Linked DNA regions of Astyanax mexicanus. The protein of the gene in region 2 purifies or fractionates together with the protein of the main gene of each other region. This does not show direct contact. Links are inferred from orthologs where the notes say so. Each region holds a gene or a part of one and is shown on either strand. Other genes may lie near its edges.

What was found.
Region 1: the proteins of U2 snRNP-associated SURP motif-containing protein (region 2) and calcium homeostasis endoplasmic reticulum protein purify together in Homo sapiens (affinity purification with mass spectrometry; 4 studies listed by BioGRID and IntAct, with this or other methods). This does not show direct contact. The link is inferred for Astyanax mexicanus from reciprocal best matches to the Homo sapiens genes U2SURP and CHERP.

The regions. Positions count from the first base shown.
Region 1 is NC_064423.1:27,378,466-27,389,958, forward strand, and holds the start of calcium homeostasis endoplasmic reticulum protein, read left to right. Parts: upstream 1-6,358; 5' UTR 6,359-6,496; coding exon 6,497-6,521; intron 6,522-7,876; coding exon 7,877-8,050; intron 8,051-8,404; coding exon 8,405-8,440; intron 8,441-9,185; coding exon 9,186-9,355; intron 9,356-10,452; coding exon 10,453-10,590; intron 10,591-10,685; coding exon 10,686-10,837; intron 10,838-10,928; coding exon 10,929-11,040; intron 11,041-11,315; coding exon 11,316-11,405; intron 11,406-11,493. Other genes in the region: zinc finger protein 615, read right to left, coding at 2,290-2,906, 3,614-3,707, 4,314-4,375, 5,384-5,654. UniProt on the Homo sapiens protein: Involved in calcium homeostasis, growth and proliferation.
Region 2 is NC_064425.1:41,493,729-41,504,611, reverse strand, and holds the start of U2 snRNP-associated SURP motif-containing protein, read right to left. Parts: upstream 4,368-10,883; 5' UTR 4,311-4,367; coding exon 4,266-4,310; intron 1,902-4,265; coding exon 1,803-1,901; intron 1,594-1,802; coding exon 1,482-1,593; intron 1,153-1,481; coding exon 1,031-1,152; intron 937-1,030; coding exon 869-936; intron 770-868; coding exon 681-769; intron 1-680. Other genes in the region: ttpa (alpha-tocopherol transfer protein), read left to right, coding at 10,685-10,879.

The DNA.
Region 1 (11,493 bases), on a different chromosome or scaffold from region 2:
TTTGTTCAGGAAAAAAGTACTAATAAAAAAGTACTAATAGACTAATAAATTCAATCTGCCCTGTGTTTCTTTAAAAATCAACCACTTTAAAACTCACCTTATAACATTATGCTTTGGCTGTAGGCCAAAAGGGCAGATCTATGTAAATAAGCTTTCAGTTGTTTTCATTTTATTGTCACCCTCCTAAAATAGTCAAGAAATAATAGCCTTTTTTCCTACATCATTTCCTCATGATGCTGATCACCTGTGGTAACCTACATCCTTACTTGATCAAACCATTTCATTCTGCACTTTTAGGATTAATGGCCTATGTATGTAATGCGTATAACTAACTAAATAAAAAATAAATCAAAATAAATTGTGACTTCACCAAAATAATTTTCACAACTCAGGGCTCGTTTAAAAATTAGAGATGAGATTTTTACTATAATATAAAGTTTACTTCTTATTAATAAAGGCTATAGGCTATAAATATTGCATAGTTGTTCAGTCTTATTATTGTGTTTTTTAGTCTGGATTTTTATTACATAAAGCTATCTTGAAATGCTCTACAGTTTCTGGCTGTTAAAATGTAAAACATTTGAATTAGGATTATTTCTGATTGGGCAAAAATTAACGAAGCAATTATTTTAAGAAGGTGCTGATCCACAGACTGTGTATCACATGTGAGTTTTACATTTTAAATTTAAATTTTAAAGCATGATGTGGGCCCTATAACTAAAAACACAAATGTATTTATGAATATATGTATATATACCTATATAACATACAGTACAATGTCCAAAAACTGCAGGCTAACATAAGAGGAAACTGCAGAATATCCCACAAGAATCAAACTGTAGATACAGTACAGTCAGTGAATGCAGCTGATCAGTGCAGGTGTGTTTATAATCTAGTTATACAGTAATCTGCAGGGAACAACACTGACCATCCACACACTCCCACCACCACCTAACACTAAAAATAGAAATACACTCTTACCTTTTATAAACTACAAGCCAGCAGGTATAACAAGATTACACCGGCTAAATCATTCACAAATATGAGGATCTGGAGGAGGGAAACCTGTTTGTGTTCTCTTCTCCTTTTTGATCCATACTGAGGAAGACAGCTGGTTTCCAAACCAGGGTTTTAGCTCCATCTAGAGGAGCAGACAGATAAACAAGTATCTCTGATCCACTACCCCCCCTTTTCATCTTAGCATCTGCGTTTATCCATCAGTTAATGCTTAAGCAAATTTTGTTTAATGGTACTTTGACATGGTACAGACATTCCAATCAATTTCCAAATGCAAACAAATACAAAAAAGTACAATTAGTATTTAAAAATATTCCTCTTGATTTGATATGCTATTGTTTTTAATACCATAGAATATCCACTTTTGGGTCCATTAAGAACACACTAAGCCCCCCCCCCCCCCCCCACCTCCCCAAAGTAAATGGTGAGAGAACTCACTGTATTATAAATTCACAACAGTTCATTTTTAAAAAAAGTTTTTATGCAGGTTCATGGAAAATATGTATTACAGATGCAACAAACATAAAATATATTTCAATATTTCACTTTTTATCACACTTACATTTGCATCTACTTGGCATAAAAAATAGATTTATCACATCTTCCTGTTACTGATAATAGTATTCTTGAATCAGATATTTTTATATATCCAGCATGGAAAGCGTCCCTTTGGGGCAAGTTGTAATACCATTTCTGCCACGCAGATGTTTAACAAATTCAATTCATTTAAATTTTATTTATAAAGCGTTTTTGTTTTTTTTTACAACAAATGTCATCAAACGAACAGTTCATGCTTGTTTTAGATTATGGTAAAATGAAGAAGCGTATTAGTAATTCCTGTTATTCAGTGACAATAGTTATATAACAATATAAACCAAAAATACCAAAATACATACTGGGAACCAGCAAAATCTGAACAGTAAGAATCAAATTTAACTTGCCTTGAAATTTAATCACCACTTTCAAAAATGTTTTGGATTCTCAGTTTTCACAACCAAGATACACAAGCCAGAAACATATTACATATCATTTACACATCTTTCTGCAGCAGAATTAGATTTGTATAGAAAACACTGAGATTCCAAAAACCTGGAATTGTAATGTAGACTCAGAAGTCATTCGATGAAGTTCATAAGAGCATTTTCAATCAACAGAGTAAGCACTGATTTGGAGAAGACATTGGACTTGTCTCATTTACCCTCACCAAGTCCCCCTTACCAGCTTCAAGTATGTAAGTTAGCATGCTCTCACTGTGTGATTAATACTCCAGTCCTAACCCATCACCTTGTGTATGGCTTTATGTCTGCGTAGAGCACTTGGGTCAGCAAATGACTTTGGGCAGAAGTTGCAGGCATACGGTTTCACCCCTCTGTGGATATTCTGGTGGAAATTCAGGGTTGCTTTTCGAGTGAAACTCTTCCCACACTGAAAGCATGTGTAGGGCCTCAGATCAGAATGTGTTTTAATGTGAACTCTCAGTCTTTTTTCTGACATCACTCTTTTTCCACAGATAGGACAAACACTCTTACATTGTGCCTGCCTATCATTATTGTGGGGAACAGCAGCAGTCACAGTTCCATCAATCTGTATGAAGGAACACTGTAAATCTCGTGTCCGTGGCAAAGACATTGGGTCATGCTGCAGCTGGTCTTTGTCTCTTTCCTCATCTTCCTCGTCTCTAGAAGACTGGGCATATGGTACATAATGAGTGTTTAGGTCCTCTATGTCTTCCTGCCCCTCCAGAGATAAAGAATTCTCCTCTTCTTCCTCCTCAAAGTCTTTAATGCTGCAGTCGTTCCAGTTGAGATGTGATCCGGATGCAGCGTTGTGCTTTAATTCAGTCTTGAGTTCAGGACTGAGGTCTGAAAGTTGATCGTTTATTTCTGCATCTGTAGAACAATAAAAGAAACACTTTACTGGAAATAAACATACTGAATATGTTTACTAGTACATTCTTAGCTGGTTCTTAATCCAAGACGTGACTATCAGTGCTTTAGCCTGTGAGGACATACCTCTAAGTCTCAAACACTGCCTGTGAGACTCACATATTATTGCCAAAATTCACAGCCTCACACCAAAAACTTCAAACATCAGTGTGTGGTTTTTAATTCAAATGAACAGACAAACTAGAGGGCAAAAGTGGCAGCATTTGTTCTAAAACATTAATATAGTATCTAGCAAATATACATCTATTAAAAATTCCCAAAAGAACAACCTTCTAACGTTGAGCAGGTCCCACTTGTGCAACCTTAACAGCACTGACCTATAGAAACATGGACTCCATAAGACCATTGAAGGTGATCTGTGATATCTGGCACCAAGACGTTAGCAGCAGATCCTTTAAGTCTTGAAAGCTGTGAGGTGGGGCCTCCCTAGGTTACATCAATGAGTCTTAGACACTCATGACCCTGATACTACTTTGGTTCACCAGTGGTCTTTCTTAGGAGCATTTTTTGGTTGGTACTGACAACTGCACACCAGGAACACCCCACAATCTGATGCCTGATGTTTTGGTGATGTTGTTTTTGTTATCAGATAATTCATGTTTTTAATCTTATGGCTTATTAGTGCATGTTTTTTTAATAAATGCCCTTACCATCATCCATGCTATCTTGCATGCACTGGTTTGTAACATACATCTCAGTCACCTCCACTTTAACTCCTGCTGATACAGCTCTCCGCTTCTGCAGCTTCAAAAACAAACAAATAAATGCAATATTTATTTAGTCACTGTTCTACTCAAGTGCTTACTGTATAAAACCATAAACATAAATGTACTCTTTTTAAACAAGAAAGTTATTAAATGTACGGTTTCATTTACTTTGTGATATTGCATGTCCTGCAATATGTTTATTTTGCATATGCACAATGCGTAAACATATACTGTGCAGTCCGAATTCATAATACTGTAAGAAAAAAAAAAAGAAAACTTATTCTTTAGGATTTACCAATATTTTACAAAACTAAGCATTACATATAAATATTTTTGCATTCCACACATGAAGTCCCCTGAATCCAATTACCACCACCACCACCGCAAACAAATCAGAGTCAGGCGTTTCTCAAAAAACAACCACAACTTTACACCTAAACCGACTCTGAATGTCAGTACACCTTAAATGAAAACTGCATAAAACATGTGCCTTATTATTCAGTAAGTGCACAAATCATTCACAACCTGCCCTGAAACAACATCATATAGACCAGTGTTTCCCAACCACTGACTTGGACCTGATTCGTATTGTGCCTACAAGCCCAGGGTTAAAACACACTGAAAGAGACCTTTAAAATCTTACCCGCTGACTACTTTTGACTGCTCCTGTATTAGTCTCCATATTGTTTGTCTTCTGTTTAGAATCTGAAAAGAGAAAAAGTCACGTTTGAGCTTTCCCCTTGAAAAGTTCAATTCTAAGAAGCAAAAGTATACATATTATGTAATTACATATACATATGTATTTAGAGATGTAGGCATCCCTCAATTGAATAAATTAGCATTCTCAATTACCTAATAGGGCTGTGTACTGGCAATACGATATTTATCATAATATCATAGTATCATAATATATGGGTAATCAAAAATTTTTTCTCTATGTATTTCTGTATGAATGTCATAACATGAAAAGCACATAATCAACTGCATAAAGTCAGATTATAAGAAAAGTTTTTTTTGCAATCAGAATATTGGGATCTTGAGGTGTGGCTGGGGGTTTAAAAACAACACTAAATAAACCATTCTCTGCCACGCATCTTTACATCTTAAACGATTTATAAAACAAATATCAGTAGTGCAAAACATAGCTGATATTGCAATACATACATACCTAACATTTAAAAAATGAAAACAACCTTTAAAAAATAAAATGTGCATGTACTGGAAAACAAGTATTTTTGTCTGTTTAAAGGCATATTTTGTTTTTATGTACATATTAAATATATTTTTCCCATTTGATGCCTCAAGACAACGATCTAAATTATTATGTTAGATCATTCTTTGCACATTTTTGTACTGATCTATCAACAAGGACAAGCTCCTCAAAATAGAAGTGAAACGGTTACTTCTTCATAAACAGTCCTGCTATAGAGGGTTACACTTAACAGAGGAAACAATTAACAATTACACTGAATAGAGGGCACAGATTTTTAAATCAAGGAAAAAGATTCATTTAATACATTAGGGGGATTATTTTGTTTTAGGGGGAATGGTTTGTCTTTTTAAAATTATATTTCTACATATATACATTTGGAAACGATGTGAAATACCGATAAATCACTATATATACACTGAAACACATTGTATTCCTAATTAAGCTGCAGCAGAGAAAAGTAAGAGAAGAACAGAGGCTGATTTCAGTCCTGCAGCACTGACCGTGTGATTTTCCAGCCACATCCTCTTCCGTTCTACAGTTTTTCTCTCTAGTTTTTAGCGGAGCCGCTTCTATCGGTTCTGAAATGTTCGGTTCTGATAGAAAACTCTGGAGCTGCCGCCTCAGCTCGTCGTTTTCAGACGTGCATCTCTCTATTTCCCTCTGTAGAGATGAGAAGACGCTGTCAGCCAGAGCGCAGATATCCACCGCCGCTGTTTTAAGCAGCATGTCCAGAATAGCGGTGAGCTGAACGTGGAAATATGTTTCTGCCATCGCGGTAAAATCTGCTGAAACCGGTCACTTCTGAACTCCGCTGAACTCGAGTCTAATCCTCCCGGTTCTCTTTGTTTTTGCTCTTTGAAAAATAATGGAGCAAGTCGCCACCAACTGGCGTGAGCGGAAGAGCCGGAGATCAGCGCGGTTTCCTCTTCAACTTAAAGGCTCATTACAGTCAGCTCGATCAGGGGGTTTCATACAGAGTCTGTCTTAAATTAAGATTAAATATACACTCATAATTAAAATAATGTTATTTTATAAATATTATATGTAAAGCAAAATAATAATAATAATCTGTAAATTATGCTCAGTGATATTTCCCAAAATTGCTTATATATATTTTTATATATATATATATATATATATATATATATATATATTTATTTTTACATTTTTACAAGGATGTTACACATTTGAGAGTGGACACTGTAGTAAGCTAATTTGAGTGAACTGGCTATATACATAAATTATAAAGAAGACTGATAAATCAAGAGAACAGCTTATTAAATCTCTACAATCAATTCAATCAATAAATATAATTTTGTACTCCTATTCCTCTGTTTTTATATTTAACAAAATCCATATTTCTTCATTCTCACTCCCCAGGGTTAATGTATACAGTATATTTTCACTGAACATAATGTAACTTTTAAAATATCCCAATTAAGTCGGGCATGTATTTTGAAATTCAGTCTAACGCGGCCGGAAATCAACTCGGCTCCTGGCGATGGTTTCACAGTGCAGAAAAATTATCTTTCCCTGAGCCGAGCTCTTTAAAGAGCTTTAATATCTCCATACTGAGCTGTAACTCACCGGATAAAGGTCTGGGTTTGATCATTATGGATATCCCAACTCCCCCAGAAGGTGAGATATGAGCAGTAGATCAACTGAGCTTAGCTAACAGCTACCCCGGTTAGCTATAGCCCAGGCTCTGAATGGCTCATGCTGCGGGTTAGCCGATTAGCCACTGTTCACTAAAGAAGAGCCCAGTTGTTTATAACGCGTTAATGGAGCGGTTTCAGGTTACATGTGTAACTGTGTATCAAAACGGCGTGCTTTACCTTCTTTCAGTTAGTCGTAGCTTCTGTTCGTATCTGAGGAGAGTGCACAGGATTAGATAGAGCTAAGCTAAGCTAGCTAATTGAGAGAAACACCATGGCCACTGCTCTTCTGATTAACTTAAACAACCAATGTTACAGAGCCCAGCTTAAGCTATGTATTCTCTCTTTCAGCCAAGAATTATGTATTTCTATCAGGTTATCTGTTGAATCAGAGTTGGTCAGTAAACCCTGGAATCAGTAATAAATGTATTCAGATGTAAACGTATACTTCTGTTCCTTTGCTGGTTGTGCTGTGTGTATCCAGTGCCTGAGAAAGCTAACAATTATTACTCTTTTCTTCACTATATTAATATTAATGACTCATAGCACTTGTTTTCAGAAATTAGACTTTCTGTCTAAACACATACTTTCAAACAAAAGTATAGTTTATTTGTTAACATAATAATGACAGGTAATACAAGTACCTTCCCAAAACAAATTCAGTAGAAGTAAATAGCTAAATACCTTAAGTGTGAATGTACTTGAGTAAATTCAAACGTACATCTGTTAAACATAAATCTGGCAAGTATATCTCTTCAAGACATTTGCCAGTCTTTCTTATTGTGCAATGTTTGTCTAAAATAAATGTTTAACATTACTCATAATGCTGCCAACATAACATAAATTAATAAAAAAATCACCCTTGTCATGAATATACTTGAGTAGAAGTAAAAGTCTAACATTTAAACCATTTAAAAATTCTAATTAATAAAATTGCCCGTATTGTATGTTGATATTTTACTGTATCCTGATACATATTCTTCTTCTATATACATACATAACCATATCACCCAGCAGCATCAGTACATGATTACAGTCACCACAAGCGGATGCTATACTATTCATATCAACTGAAATTAAGAAAAATATTTTGATATTAGTTTTGGACATATTGTTCAGCCCTAAGTACATGTAACAGATTTGTTACTACTCACGGTGATGCTGAACAATAAGTGCTTGTTTCCTAGACAAGAATTAAGTCTATCCAAAAGTAAAAGGAAGCTTTCTTAGCATGTACATTTTGACTCAGTAAACATTCAGTGATCATGGTAATAATTCACATATATAATGTGATTTCTGTCAACATTTTTTTGTGGTGTTTTGTTTTTGTTGTTCCAGATCAAGAGCTTCGCAATGTCATTGACAAGCTGGCGCAGTTTGTGGCCCGCAATGGGCCTGAGTTTGAAAAGATGACCATGGAGAAGCAGAAGGACAATCCGAAATTCTCCTTTCTCTTCGGAGGAGATTACTTTGGATACTACAAGTACAAGCTTGCAATTGAGCAACAGCAGCGTATGTACACTGAAACAGTTCTAACTGCTAGTGCAGCTTTGGGGAACTGGGGGGCAGAGTTTTGCACAGTTTGCTGATTGACTTGGCAATGAACTGATTAGTTAAATTGGTTATAAACTGTGCAGGAAACTGGCCCTCCAGGGCCATAAAGGGTTGTTAAATTAGTGTGTGTATTAGAAACTGAACTGAACTTGTTTGCTTACTAACCTAGCATTTAATGATGTAGCTTCAGAATTAAATGCTTAAAGAAATGTAAAATTCATATAGATTTATCCAGTCAAGTTTTCCCCCCAATGTGCAGGAATGTGCAAATATGCTTTGTTTTGTATCTAAGTCATCCTTTTTTCCTCATAGATCCAACCACTCACGATGATGAATATAAAATGGAAGGTATTTACTAGATTGACAATTGGACGCAATCTATATTTACTGTATAATATTCACACTTTGCCTGGTGTCATTGAGTATTTTTGCATCATCAGTGCTTAATGCCTTTTTCTCTTTATTTTATATTGAGCTTTGTCAGGCGTTTTGTCTTATGTTTTGTACAAGGTTGTGGGAAGGGAGCTTCAGTTGCTTGTGATGATAAAAAAAAAACAGCCTGCCCAGTAAATTCATTAGCATACAAACCCAAAACTGACTAAATAAAATGTTGGACAGATTTGTTTAGGCTCAGAATGGAAACATCTCATTGTTCTTTCCTTAGTTACTTGCTTGTTGTGTTATAATTTTTTTTTTTTTAATTCAGTTTGGTTGTATGACTTCAGTGTAGCCTCATACGTTCCACAGCTCAGTTCCCTCTTAAACAGTTTGTTCTAGTTTTTCATGGGCATTATTAAACACTGAAAAACAGGGCAAACAAAACCAGCATGTGTGAGTACGGTTGCATGCATGCTGTTAATAATATCTCAACTGGATGGCTTTGCTTTGAGAATGCCCATTAAACAAAGTCATTTACTCCTTACAGTTGTTCTTTCTAGTTTTTGATTTTGGATGTTGCCTCTGGTTGTTTCATGATGATGTGTATCTGTTTTTTTTCGAGTTTTTAAAAAATATATATTCTATCTTTTTGTGTTTGTTTGTTAAACTAATGAACTTAGTAGTTAGTACCATTAAAGAATAACTGTGCTTTCAGTTGCAGTGCATTGCAAACCACCTGGTAAAGAAGTCCCAGATGTTCCTCCACCAATGTCCTTGCTTCCACCTCCACCTATCCCCCCCAGTACACCTTCAGTGGAGGAGCTCATTCAGCAGAGCCAGTGGAACCTCCAGCAGCAGGAGCAGCACCTGAACAGCCTCAGACAGGTAACTCCTCCTACATTTTATCTGTTTTATTGGTCAGTTCAAACATACAGGTTGGGTTTATTGTAATTACTGTAATTACAGGCTGTAGTTCTTCTTCTTTATTATCGTCCTTTCATTCTGTCCTTCAATGGTGGGTCATTCATTCTCAGCACTGCAGTGACACTGGCATGGTGGTAGTATAATTAAATGGATCAAAGACAGCAGTGCTGCTGGAGTTTTTAGACACTCAACATCCACTCTATTAGACAGAAGCTCCTCTGTTGCACAGTTTGTGTTTTCATTCTCTAGTCCTTAATCAGCGGTCACAGGATGCTGCTCACAGGATGCTGCTCACAGGATGCTGCCCACAGGATGCTGCCCACAGGATGCTGCCCACAGGATGCTGCCCACAGGATGCTGCCCACAGGATGCTGCCCACAGGATGCTGCCCACAGGATTCTGCCCACAGGACACTGTTGGTGGATTACTCTAGTCCAGTAGTGTCACTGAAATGTTTTACAACTCTATCAACACCACTGTGTCAACATGCACAACACTCCACCATGCCAGTGTTACTGCAGTGCTGTGAATAATACACACCCCAAATAATAGCTGCTCTAAGGTGGTCCTGACTATTAAAAACAGCGGAATTATAAAGTTTACAGAGAAACACAGAAACTAGAGTCTGTGATTATAGATCAACAAACTGCCACTAATGCTCAGTGAATAATATTTCTTGTAGAAACAAGGAAATGGTCATAATGTTCTGCATATAATGTTAATAGAATTGGAATAACACAATTTATACTAATTCTAATCAAATGTAATGTGATTTGATGAAGTATGCACTAATTTTTACAAAACATAAAGGAAAAAGTATATGTTTAATACAATCTTCCCATAAAACATAAGAAATCGTATGTAAAAACATGTATTGTTACTGTTTATACTGTGATAGTCCTACAGTCACATTTATGTATTCAGAAAAAAAAAAATCTTTCTTTAAGCATTGCATTCCTCTAATTAAATGGGACTAAAAAAAAAGCAAGTTCTGCACAAATAAGTATAGAAGTCTGGAAGGTTCACATTCTGGACCACCTTTTTCTCTTTATCTGTAGGAGCAAGTAACTGCAGCTATTGGTTTGGCCATGGAGCAGCAGACTCAGAAACTGCTGGTGGAGACGCAGCTGGACATGACTGAGTTTGACGGCCTCCTCCAGCCAATCATCGACACCTGCACCAAGGATGCCATTTCGGTGAGCAGCAAATAGACCTCACTGTAGAAAGACTTGCTTGCCTTCAGCACCGTAACGTTTAATCTGAGAGATTCGCTGCTGTTCTCTTTTTTTAGGCTGGAAAGAACTGGATGTTCAACAACGCTAAATCCCCACAGCACTGCGAGCTGATGACCTCACACCTGCGCAACCGCATTACAGCAGAAACGGCACATTTCGAGCTCCGCCTACATCTCATCTATCTCATGAATGACGTCCTACACCACTGGTACACCACAGGACTTGGACATAAAAATGTAGTGGCATTGTTGTAGTGTATTCTAATCGTAGTATTGACTTGCGTTGTTATGGTTCCACAGCCAAAGGAAGAATCAGAGGGATCTGCTGGCCGCCCTGCAGAAGGTTGTGGTGCCTATCTATTGCACCAGCTTCCTGGCTGTGGAGGAAGACAAGCAGCAGAAAATCACACGGGTATGTTTGTTGAGCGACCCAAAGTATAAGCACATAGTTTATTAAAGGCATGCAAAATGTGTTAGCTGTATGTATATGCATCAGTCTGCCAGTGACTGTTAACAGAACGGAATCAATTTTGTTTACTAAAATAATACTCAAAAAAATGTAAAAAAAAATAAATAAAAATAAATAAATAAATAAAAAATAAAATACTTTTTCTAACATACAACATCTAACAGATATTAAAACAAGATATTTGTTATTTAAACATAATCTCTTTGTACTATTTCTAGTTGCTCCAGCTGTGGGAAAAGAACGGTTACTTTGATGATGTCACCATTCAGCAGCTCCAGAGTCCTGCGCTAGGCCTTGGACAGTATCAGGTACTGCAATCAGCAAAACTTACTGTACTAAAACTTATATTAGCCATATTACACAGTAATATGTAGCAGTAATGTTAGCAATTATTTG
Region 2 (10,883 bases):
TTTTGCCACTGAAATACATAGCCTAGTAAATACATTAACTGTTGTGCTTGTTTTTTAATATCTGTTTGGAATAAATTATTTGTACATAATCAATACATTCCTAAATAATATAATATCTCTAATCTGCCTATTTAATGTACTGAAGTTTATCCCCATTCCTTAACACTTTTAAGCTATTAATAGTTCTAGCCCGTGCAACTTTTCATCGTAGAAAAATATAGGGCAGTCTTTAAGGTACCATACTTGTAAGAGACAAATACAAGTTTGAAAATGAACATATAAAATTTTATTGTGGTTTTAGTTCACAAGCAACCATTAAGCAAAACTCTGGGAAAAAAATAAAACATAAGAAATTAAGAGATCAGCTCTTCACATGTTTTTTTTCACTACCGAAGTTGTTACTATCAATAAGAAGAAATTTCACTTTATGAATATATCTAGACTATTTATGCAACAATTAAAAACATGGTCAATTTAATTGGCATTCAGCCAAATGTTTAGTTTTGTTCAGTTTTGGCCAAAAATGTATTTCGGTGCATCACTAACAGGGTATGAATGTCATGGTAGTATATGAGCCACATACTGCCCAGCACTATATAGGTCTCGACTCTTTAATTTTATATAAATACCCCCTGAACAATGCTCCACTCTGCAGTCCATTATCTATTGATTATACTTACAGGATCTTCTTCCCTCCATAGCAGACAGAGGTTCAAATCTACTGACTCGTCCCTTCAGCCTGTGCCGCTCATCCCGCTCCTCCTGGATCCTACAGAACAACAGGTAGAAGACGGTACCGATATTAAGCACTTTATCACAATACAAGTAATTATTTGACCAAAACAAAAACAGGAAATAGAGAACATACTGTTTCAGCTCTTCTTTAAAAAGCTCCAGGTTGCTCTTTTTCTTTTCTTTTTCTCCTTTCTTTGATGCCTTGGGATATAAAGATAATAAAATATTTAAAAGTGACCTAAAAGAAATTTACATACATTTGTTCAAACAAGCATTAAGAAAACAGAGTACTTACATTACGCTTGTCTATCGCAAGAAACTGTGGTGGTGTTTCAAGCGGCAAAAAACTTTTTGCCTCCAAAACACGTGATTTGGGTTTGTAGAGCTTTCCTTTCTTCTCATCCACTGCAGCTTCCTCTACAGGAAAAGCAAAAGCATAGAAAGGTGTTCAAACTCAGTGTCTAATGTCTGCAATGGCACGAATGGCAGAAAATTACATTTTTATGAATAATATATGCATTTCAGCCACCAGGCATCAATACAAAGTACTGCATTTGCCCCTTTTACATGCTGTCAGTGTCAACTAGGGTTGGGAATCACAGGGCATCACACAACAGAATTCATGCACACAAACGCAAATTACGACACTGGCACAGTCCTGCAGTACAGAACAGACCTCGCTGCCATCATACAGTACTGTACTTTTCCGCCACTATACCTTATTTAAATAATTTTGAGTAATTTACCTTTGGTGGCATTGGCGATGCCCCCTCTGACAAAGGTCTTTACTCTGCCTTCACCTCCTTCAAACGCAGCGAGGAACTCTTCATAGATTTCAGCAGCTGCTTTTTCATCCTCCTGTAAATGTTCAGCATAACAACATATTTAATGGAATACTTTCAAAATAAAACTAAAACAGATCAATCTTCTGTAGGATATTCATTTAACATATGCACAGAGAACTGCTATAATTTGGACAAATCCACTTATCATCTACATCTCTACATCTCTCAGTCCTTCCACTGTTCCACTTCATCAGATATCAGTAGTAGCACTGACTCACTCACCTTTTTCTTTAATTCATCTTGTTCCTTTTTGCTCAAGGTTCTTTTAGCCACAGCCATCTTTCCAATACTGAAGGCTTTCAGCTTACTCTCCAACAAAGCCTGCAGAGAAACGTAGACAAATTAGATTCACTGGAACTGGAACAGTAAACATGACAGCAGTGTTTCTGTCAAAAATGAATAAACCTTTCCTTTGTTTAGATAATCATCACTTGTAATATTTTGTTATATTTGTGTGTTAAATTTGAGTGTAGGTGTAGGTGTAGGGTTGTCTCTTATTCTTACGGTTCTAACAGACAAAAAAAAAAACACAAAAAGTGACTCAGTATTGGCCAATACAATGACAATATTTGCCTCAAACTGGAACGCTCCTGAAACTAAATCTACTGCTTTTGCTGGAGTAACTGACTCTACAGTGCATTTTGGAGCACTGCTGTGAAAATTTGGCTGCATTCGGCAACTGCATTTCTAGTGAAGTCAGGACATTGGAAGATCATCACAACATCATCATTGTAGAAAAGTCCCAATGCTTTACAGCTCAATGCTGGGGGATTTATACTTCTCTATCTTACACCTGGCCTGGCATGATGCCAACTAGTTTGTGTTTAATCACTGCTGAGCATACCTAAAGTTAAGGTAGAGATAGCGAAGGTCAAAAATTACTCTAGTAAAACAGAAGTTCTTTCTTTATACCTCAACATGAGAAAAAAAGTATTTGCTTTTCTGTGTAAAAGTACTAGGCTTTTGTGTTCTATTATCATTTTTATACAGAAGTGGATGCAATTGCATCTACATAACCAGTCAAAAGTTTGGAGAGTCATTTTTCATTATTTAAAAAAAAAATCTGCATTGTAGATGAATACTAAATCAAAAAACTATGAAGGAAAAAAACAGGAAATTATTTAGTAAACTAAAAAGTATTAAACAAACCAGAATATGTTTTATATTTTAGATTCTTCCAAGATTCTCTAGCTTAGATGACAGCTTTGCACATTTTCTCAGTCAGCTTTATAAGGTAGTCACCTGGAATGACCTTCAAGACTTGTTGAGAGTTAATTACTTGAATTTCTTGCCTCTTAATGTGTTTGAGAGCATCAGTTGTAAAGTTGTGAAGAGGTAGAGTTGGTATAGAGTGAAAAGCCCTATTTGAGTAATGTTCTAATCCATGTTATGGCAAGAACTACTCAACTAAGTAAAGGAAAAAATACTGGAAGGTCTGTCAATCCAAAATATTTGAAGATCTTTGCAAGCATCCTCAAGTGCACCTGCAAAGCCCATCACACACGTTATGATGAAACTGGCTCTCATCAGGACCACCCAAGGAAAGCCAAAGAATAAGTTCATTAGAATTAGCAGCCCGCCTAAAAGCTTCACAGAGTATTTTGGTTTAACACTTTTAAGTTACTACATGATTCATGTGTTCTTTCATAGTCTTGGTTAGTTTAACAGTCATTTGCAATGTAGGAAACAAGAAATAACATGGAATGAGAAGGGTCGAAACTTCTTTTTGGTACTGTACTTCATTACTGTCCACCACTGATGTTCACCTGTTCCTGAAAGTGCAAACTAGATATTTTATTGGCAGTATCTATATTCTCTACTAACTATAGACTATAGAACTATAAGTAGACAAGCTGTATGTGTACATTTGCACATCAGTATATTAAGAATGGGTGCAACCTAACGTAGCTAGCTGACTAAATAATTAATTAAAAGGGGTCGTCCAGAAATAATTGAAACACAGTGTGTGTAAATATAAATATATATATAAAACCTTTAATGTGAACACCAAGCTAACCAGCTAACACTAGATTATCCAGCAGACCCCACTGTTTACTCAGTCACGTGGTTGGCTAAATAAGGGAACTTTCCATAATATTCGCGCCAAATAATGATTATTAACCTATTAAACGACATTGTTTATCACATAGACTTGTTGTAATACCGCACAGCATGAAGAGAAACGCTGTATAAAGAGCTAAAACAGTCGTAGAAGCTGCTACACAGCTCAATGTAACGCTGACTGGTTTGTTAGCTTGATGGTATCAAACCTAGCTAAGCTAGCTCTAGCTAGCTACACCGTTCAGATTAGCTAGCTAAGCTAAGTACAATAAAATATCACCAATACAATATAATAATGAATTTAAAACGACCATTTACGATCCATAATCGATCTAAAACGCTTATGTACGCTGCCTTTCCGAATATTACCCGCAGAATTTGCTTTTGTGTAGTGTTGAGTGATTCTGACATTTATTAGCGATCTAGCCGTTAGCCGCTAGCTTCCCCAGCGCGAGCTCTTTAACCTAGCTAAGCTAACCGGCTAAATCCACTATACTGAGCAGATTTAACACACACAGGCCCCTCAGAACCGCACCAGCCGAAACCGCGCACACCTAAAACACAACATTTACACAATTAACGCAGATTCGGAGCTTAATTAAAGGCAGAAATGTGCTGAATTACCTTGGAGTTGGCCTTGTGAGCCCCGCCTGGCGTCCTGTCCGCCATCTCCAAGCAGTGCAGTAGCAGCAGCGGGCTGCGTTCAATCAGCAGCAGGAGCTCTAACCCGATTCAAAACAGCAACGTGGAACTGAAATCACTTAAACAGACCCTTTAAAATAATGATAATAATAACGATACATTGTTAATGACTAATAATGTAATATAATACGGATATTATAAAATATTATTTAATAATATATAAAAAAATAATATAATTAAATATTGATACTAAGGACTTTTTATGTCAAAATAGACCTAGGGATTTGCAAATATTTACAGTCTTTGTATCTTTTCTATTTGTTGAACAAAGTATAGTTTGCATATACATTTTGATTTCCATTTCAAAAACCACGAACAGTGGGATTCTATTTTTAATTTTACATTTAACAATATAAAATAACCTTAAATTAGCTAAAATTATAATTAGATTAATGTATAATATTGATCTATCTTATGCTTAACATTATTAAATCCAACTAAAACTTTTTTTCATAACAAATCTTATCAAGTTTTTTCCAAAACATTTTAACAAACTCACAATTCCAAAACAAATAGTATAATAAGGTTTCTGGGTGTACATCACAGAACGAGCAATTTGAAAATCTTTTTTTAATTTGGTTAAACAATGGTTTGTTGGGTAGCATCTATGTAGTACTTGAAATGTAATCTCCTTTCCTTTCTACGTCTCACATATATTGGTTCCAGTAAAATTTTACATTATAAACTGAGACAATGTCTTTTGGAAAAAAAAATGTAATTTGCCATTATTTTTGAGTTCAAAGGAGAAGCATACCTTGCCAATTGCAGTATTTATTGGGTCGTCTACAGCTGTAAAAGTAGGTGGTATTTTGGTTATTTAATAATAATCACGTGGGCTCACATTGGTGAAGTGTGGGCTAAGAGGGTTTCAGGTGGTCATAGGCTCTGGGTGGGTTTGTACAGGTGTTGTTACTGGGACCCAGGTGGGGTTCACAAATGGACTTTATTATTACAGCCTATTTTAATATCACATTGGTCCCATCTAGGACCCATGTACAGTGTACAACCCAGAGGGGATCATGTTTAACTCCTCCTAGTCCCATCACTGACCCTGGTGGGCATATACAGTATACTGGGGGGGGCAACATGGCACTGTAAAAGGTAACACCACTTTTCAACATAATTTTTTAAAAGTTTTAATCTGCATGAAAGGTACGTATGACTAAACACACTTGGGCAAATTACACTTTACTCTTTCAAGATCTTACTTAAATAATGTAGCATCATATTTATGCATGCATCTTCCCTAATCCATGACATAATGGCATGTCCCTTACCATTAACTTACCCTCAGTGTAGTCTTCCCCACCATAGCTACCTTTTTGGGGGGTATTCAGTTACATTTTATATAATGGTTAATAGACTGGCTACGGTGTTGTAAGCCATAATTGCATGTGAAAGGAACTCTGAGCTGGATGAATTTTCCCATTTTTTCAAGTAATAAAGAAAATAGTCTAGCCGAAAGGATGTATTCATTTCATACTCTATTAATAAACAAAAACTTAAACTAGCTTTTTTTTTATTCTTTTTTTGAGTGTTTACTACCTATTAAACATTTCGCTCTATCCAAACATTTCACTCTTTCCAAACATTTCACTTTTTCCAAATTAATCTAAAATAATTTTAGATCATTTTACATTTAATTGTTTACTTTACTCCAGTCAAACGTTTAGACACACCTTTAAATTCAGTAGTTTTTCATTTTTTAAAAAATGCTCTGATTCATAGATTAACACTAAACTCATTTAAACTAAGAAAAAAAAATATGAAATTATTTAATAAAACCCAAAAGTGTTAAAAATACTAGTTTTTTTTTTAGGTTATTTTAGGTTCTTCAAAGTAGGCCCTAACTGTTTTCATGTCTTTAATATTAGTAAACAGAAATGTAGAAAAATAACAAAAACATTGAATGAGAAAGTGTGTCCAAACTTTTGACTGGTACTGTATATATTATAAAATATATTTAATTACAGAGGGGATAAATAAATAAAAAAAAAATACAAAAATAAAGCTTATTAATAATGGCTTATTTAGAGTAGGCTACCCAGCATGCTAATACTTACAGAGACCACACGATTTATACTATCTAGGCTCTACAAATATAATAGTTTAATCATGCATTGTAAAATTATACAAATTTATTATACAAAACAATAATAAAACAGCCCGTACAAAAACACATATTGGTACTGACATAAGTTAACAGACACAGCAATAGGTGTTAAATAAATATTTTATTTTTTAGAAATATTTACATCCTTTATAAAGAAAAAATAAGGTAGAATGATTAAACATGTGATTTTATTATTGCTTTTGGTGATTATTCTGATGATAATGATAAACAGCAAAGTGGTGGTGATGATGATGATGATGGTGATGATAGCTAGCTCTGCTCTTAGCATTCACCGCGTGCCTTAATTGAATGAAATTAAATCAAGGTCCGCCGCGAACACGCAGAGTAGGAGCCTAAAATTGCTTTTCCTGTGGACAAAAATTAGTTTTTATAGGTTTAAAACGTAGAAGCGAATTAAATAAAGCCGGAACGAAATTATTAGAAAGACTTTTCATATTTAACGCGACAAAAAAATCCCAACATTTGGGGGTTAGCCTCTCATTGGCCGGCTTGTGGTTGGAATTTTCCGTTCCACCTTAAATAGCGCTGCAGTTGCATTAGGACGCCTCAGGCCTCCTAATGCAACTGCAGCGCTATTTAAGGTGGAACGGAAAATTCCAACCACAAGCCGGCCAATGAGAGGCTAACGTAATGTTATAATGCTATATAATGGAAAATACCAATACTATCAGGTATGTTATCCATTATAGGCCCAAATTGCGCTTTTCATTTGATTGATTTCGCCTCCTTAAGCCTATAATAATAGTAGCGTTAAATAACACGCTAAAAATAGCCGCATTATTAAGTACACAACATAACACCATCATTTCCAAGCTAAACATCTTGAATACCATCCAAAAAATCGAAAGAATCCCAAAATTCATATAGGAAAATTAACCACAATAAAAAATATGCTGATATTCAGTCACTAGAATCTCCATCCTCGTGATACGCTTTGCAAAAAAACGTCTTAAAACGCTAAAATAAATAAATAAAACACACGTATAAACACACATATATAAGGCTCGACGACCGCAATTTCGACACCTTGTGCCTCCATCATCTTCCAGAGATAGCCCCTCAGTCCGGATGCAACCCCCTCCTGGTCCTTCATCCCGGCTGTTCTGCTGCTGCAGCACCGGAGCATCCTCTCATCCTCCTTATTCTCCATCTTTTCCCACTAAAAAACACGATTAAACGAATGAACACCCCCAATCTTTACCCTTTATTCTGTAGATAATAACCCAGGATGGGGGAGCTGCACCGAGCACCCGGAGCAGGAGGGATGCTGGTGACGTCACAACTCCCTCCCACCCGCCTGCGAAATAAACAAATAAATAAATAAACACTAAAAAATAAATAAATAATGGAAAAAAACATATAATGAGGTATATTACAATATATATTGCAGTATTTATCATTGGAATTAAATAGAAATAAATTAGTGGTGTCAATCGATACAAAATGAATCAAATTAAGTGTGATCTATGTTCCAGTTATGAAAAATATAGAAGAATGTTGTTTTCTGTCTGTAATACAGCTCTGGAAAAAAAATTAGCCCTTAAAAAATGATGAGTTTCTAGGATTTTACCAAATTGAAAACCTCTGGAATATAATCAAGAGGAAGATAGATGATCACAAGCCATCAAACCAAGCTGAACTGCTTAAACATTTGCACCAGGAGTGGCATAAAGTTATCCAAAAGCAGTGTGTAAGACTGGTGGAGGAGAACATGCCAAGATGCATGAAAACTGTGATTAAAAACCAGGGTTATTGCACCAAATATGGATTTCTCTTAAATCTTAACACTCTGAAAACTTTATGAATATGAACTTGTTTTCCTTACATTATTTGAGGTCTAAAAGCTCTTTATCTTTTTTGTTATTTCAGCCATTTCTCATTTTCTGCAAGTAAATACTCTTAATGACAATATTTTTATTTTGTCCGTAGTTTAGAATAAAACAACAATGTTCATTTTAGCCAAACATATACCTATAAATAGCAAAATCAGAAAAGGATGATTCAGAAACTGAAGTGGTCTCTTAATTTTTTTCCAGAGCTATATATATTGTTTGTATTTTTATGTTAATTGCAGTGTAATCATTTGTTACGCATTGTTATTTTTTCTTTTATATAACTTTTTATTTTTTTTATTTCACAAATCATCACTAGGCGGTAAAATTAACCCATAACATGATTTTTCCAATGCAGTAGGTGAAGCTAAGGTGCTGTTTTTGATTGGCTGATACATATTACTAAATCAGGGATGAAATCACGATTATTTTTTTTAATGCTGGTACTTGGAAAGGTGACAAACATAATGGTGTAGTGTGTTTTTAATGTATTATGATATATCAGGGAAGTTTTGATGCTTTTTAAACTAGAATAGTGTAATGTTCTGAGTAACTGAGTTTACCTAAACTTAACTGAGTTTTAATGGAGGACATAAACACTAGTGTAACTCCATATTCCACACTCAACAGCTTGAAAAGAGAAAACGTGCCATCAGTTTTTTGTATGTTTGTGTTTGTGTGAGCATGACCACACGAGTCTGAGAGAAAGACGAAAAGACATACATAAAAAAAACCTCCTGAACTTAACAGTAAGTGTCTCTTAATAAAAGTACTAATGTGCCACCAGGCCCTGTCAATTTTGTAAACTAAAATGAAGATATAACATAAATCTCGATACCTTTCTAAAAAAACTGTAAAACTAATATAAACAAAACACATATGACACCAGATTTCTCCTTTAAGAAGATTTACGAATGATTTAAGACATTTATCATACATTGGAGCAATAGAGCCAAATGCTCCTAATTCAAAAATGAGGAAATATTCATTAAAAAGACAGAAAACTGTTAACATTTTAACATTTTAACAGCCTCAAATTGTAGATCATTTCTAGATAGCTAATGTAACTGCAGTGCTATTTAAGGTGAAATACAAGCTGCCCAATGAGAGTCTAACGTATGTTATTCTGCTATATACTATGTTATGATAAATGATGTAGTTTTCATGTTATGTTATGAGTCAGTTCTGTCAGGCTTTTTGCTGCATATCTCAGATTTTGCTCATGTTTTATCTGTTACTTGTGAAAGATAATTGTATCATATCTTACTGTAAATATATTGTACTATACTGGCCTTACAGAACTTATGTGTTGATTCAGGTCTGTACTGTCATCCTGTAACATTACAACTCCAACTCCAGATTTTACAGAGCATTTTGTAAATATCATATCCTTATAACATACACACACCCTTCACATGTGTGTTAATGAAAGACGGCAACAAAAGTGATTTGATTTAAAACTATTTGTATCAAAATGCTAGAAACATTAATCCCAGCAGAAAAAACAGATGAACTTATTTATTTGTTTATTTTTTGTTACTTATTCATTTATGTGGATATATCCAAGTTATTACATTAATAGTTTTACATGGTTAAATATACTTATAAAATGTATCACAAGTAAATGTAAAAAGTGATAAAAGCAGTTTTTGAGTGCAGAAATATAGAGCTAGAATGTTAGATAATGTGGTTGAATGTTCCTGTGTGAGCAGAGGTGAGTCTGTGCTGCTGACCCTGCTGAGGTCTAAAGGTCAGGTGTGTTGTGAGTCTGAGATGAGTTGCCCAATAACTTTTTCATGGTACTGTATTATAAAAAGTTTTAAGCTGATATTCTATTCTATTCTATTCTATTCTATTCTATTCTATTCTATTCTATTCTATTCTATTCTATTCTATTGCATGCCTCAGATTGTTTCATGTTTTATGTGATTAGTTTACATCAATTAAAAGGAAGTATTGCATTATATTTAATATTATTTGTTTAACATAAAGAATCATCATTTAAACTGAGAAAACTTCCATTCATTCATTTAATTGCATCTCAACTACTACTAATTTCCTGTAGGTGGCGCAGTACACAGAAGATTTATACACGTGGACAGCTTAGTTATATAAACTATATAAACTGTATACTTTTAGGGGATATAAGTATTCAGGTATTTATAGTTTAAACTATTGAAATAATTTTCTGTGTTTTAATAATCTTGTAATAATATGGGAATAACATATATGAGTGTGCTGCTGTGCAGGGGCGGGGCAGGGGGCGGGGCCGGGTGCAGTGGGCGGGGAGGTTTGTGCTGAGTGGTGTGTTCACTGTCTCCGCGGTTCTATAAGTGCGGTTCTGATCCAGTAAAGCCCAGTATGAGCGGTCCGGTATGAAGCCGTCCGGAGCCGCGCGCTGTGATCTGAACGAGCTGCCCGCGGAGGATAAGCGGGTGCGGCGGCTCGTGCGGGAGCTGCGGGAGCGCGCGGAGCGGGAGGCGTTCAGCAGAGTCCAGCAGGATCTGACCGACCCGTTCCTGCTGAAGTTTCTCCGAGCCCGGGACTTCGATCTGGACCTCGCTCTGAAAGTAA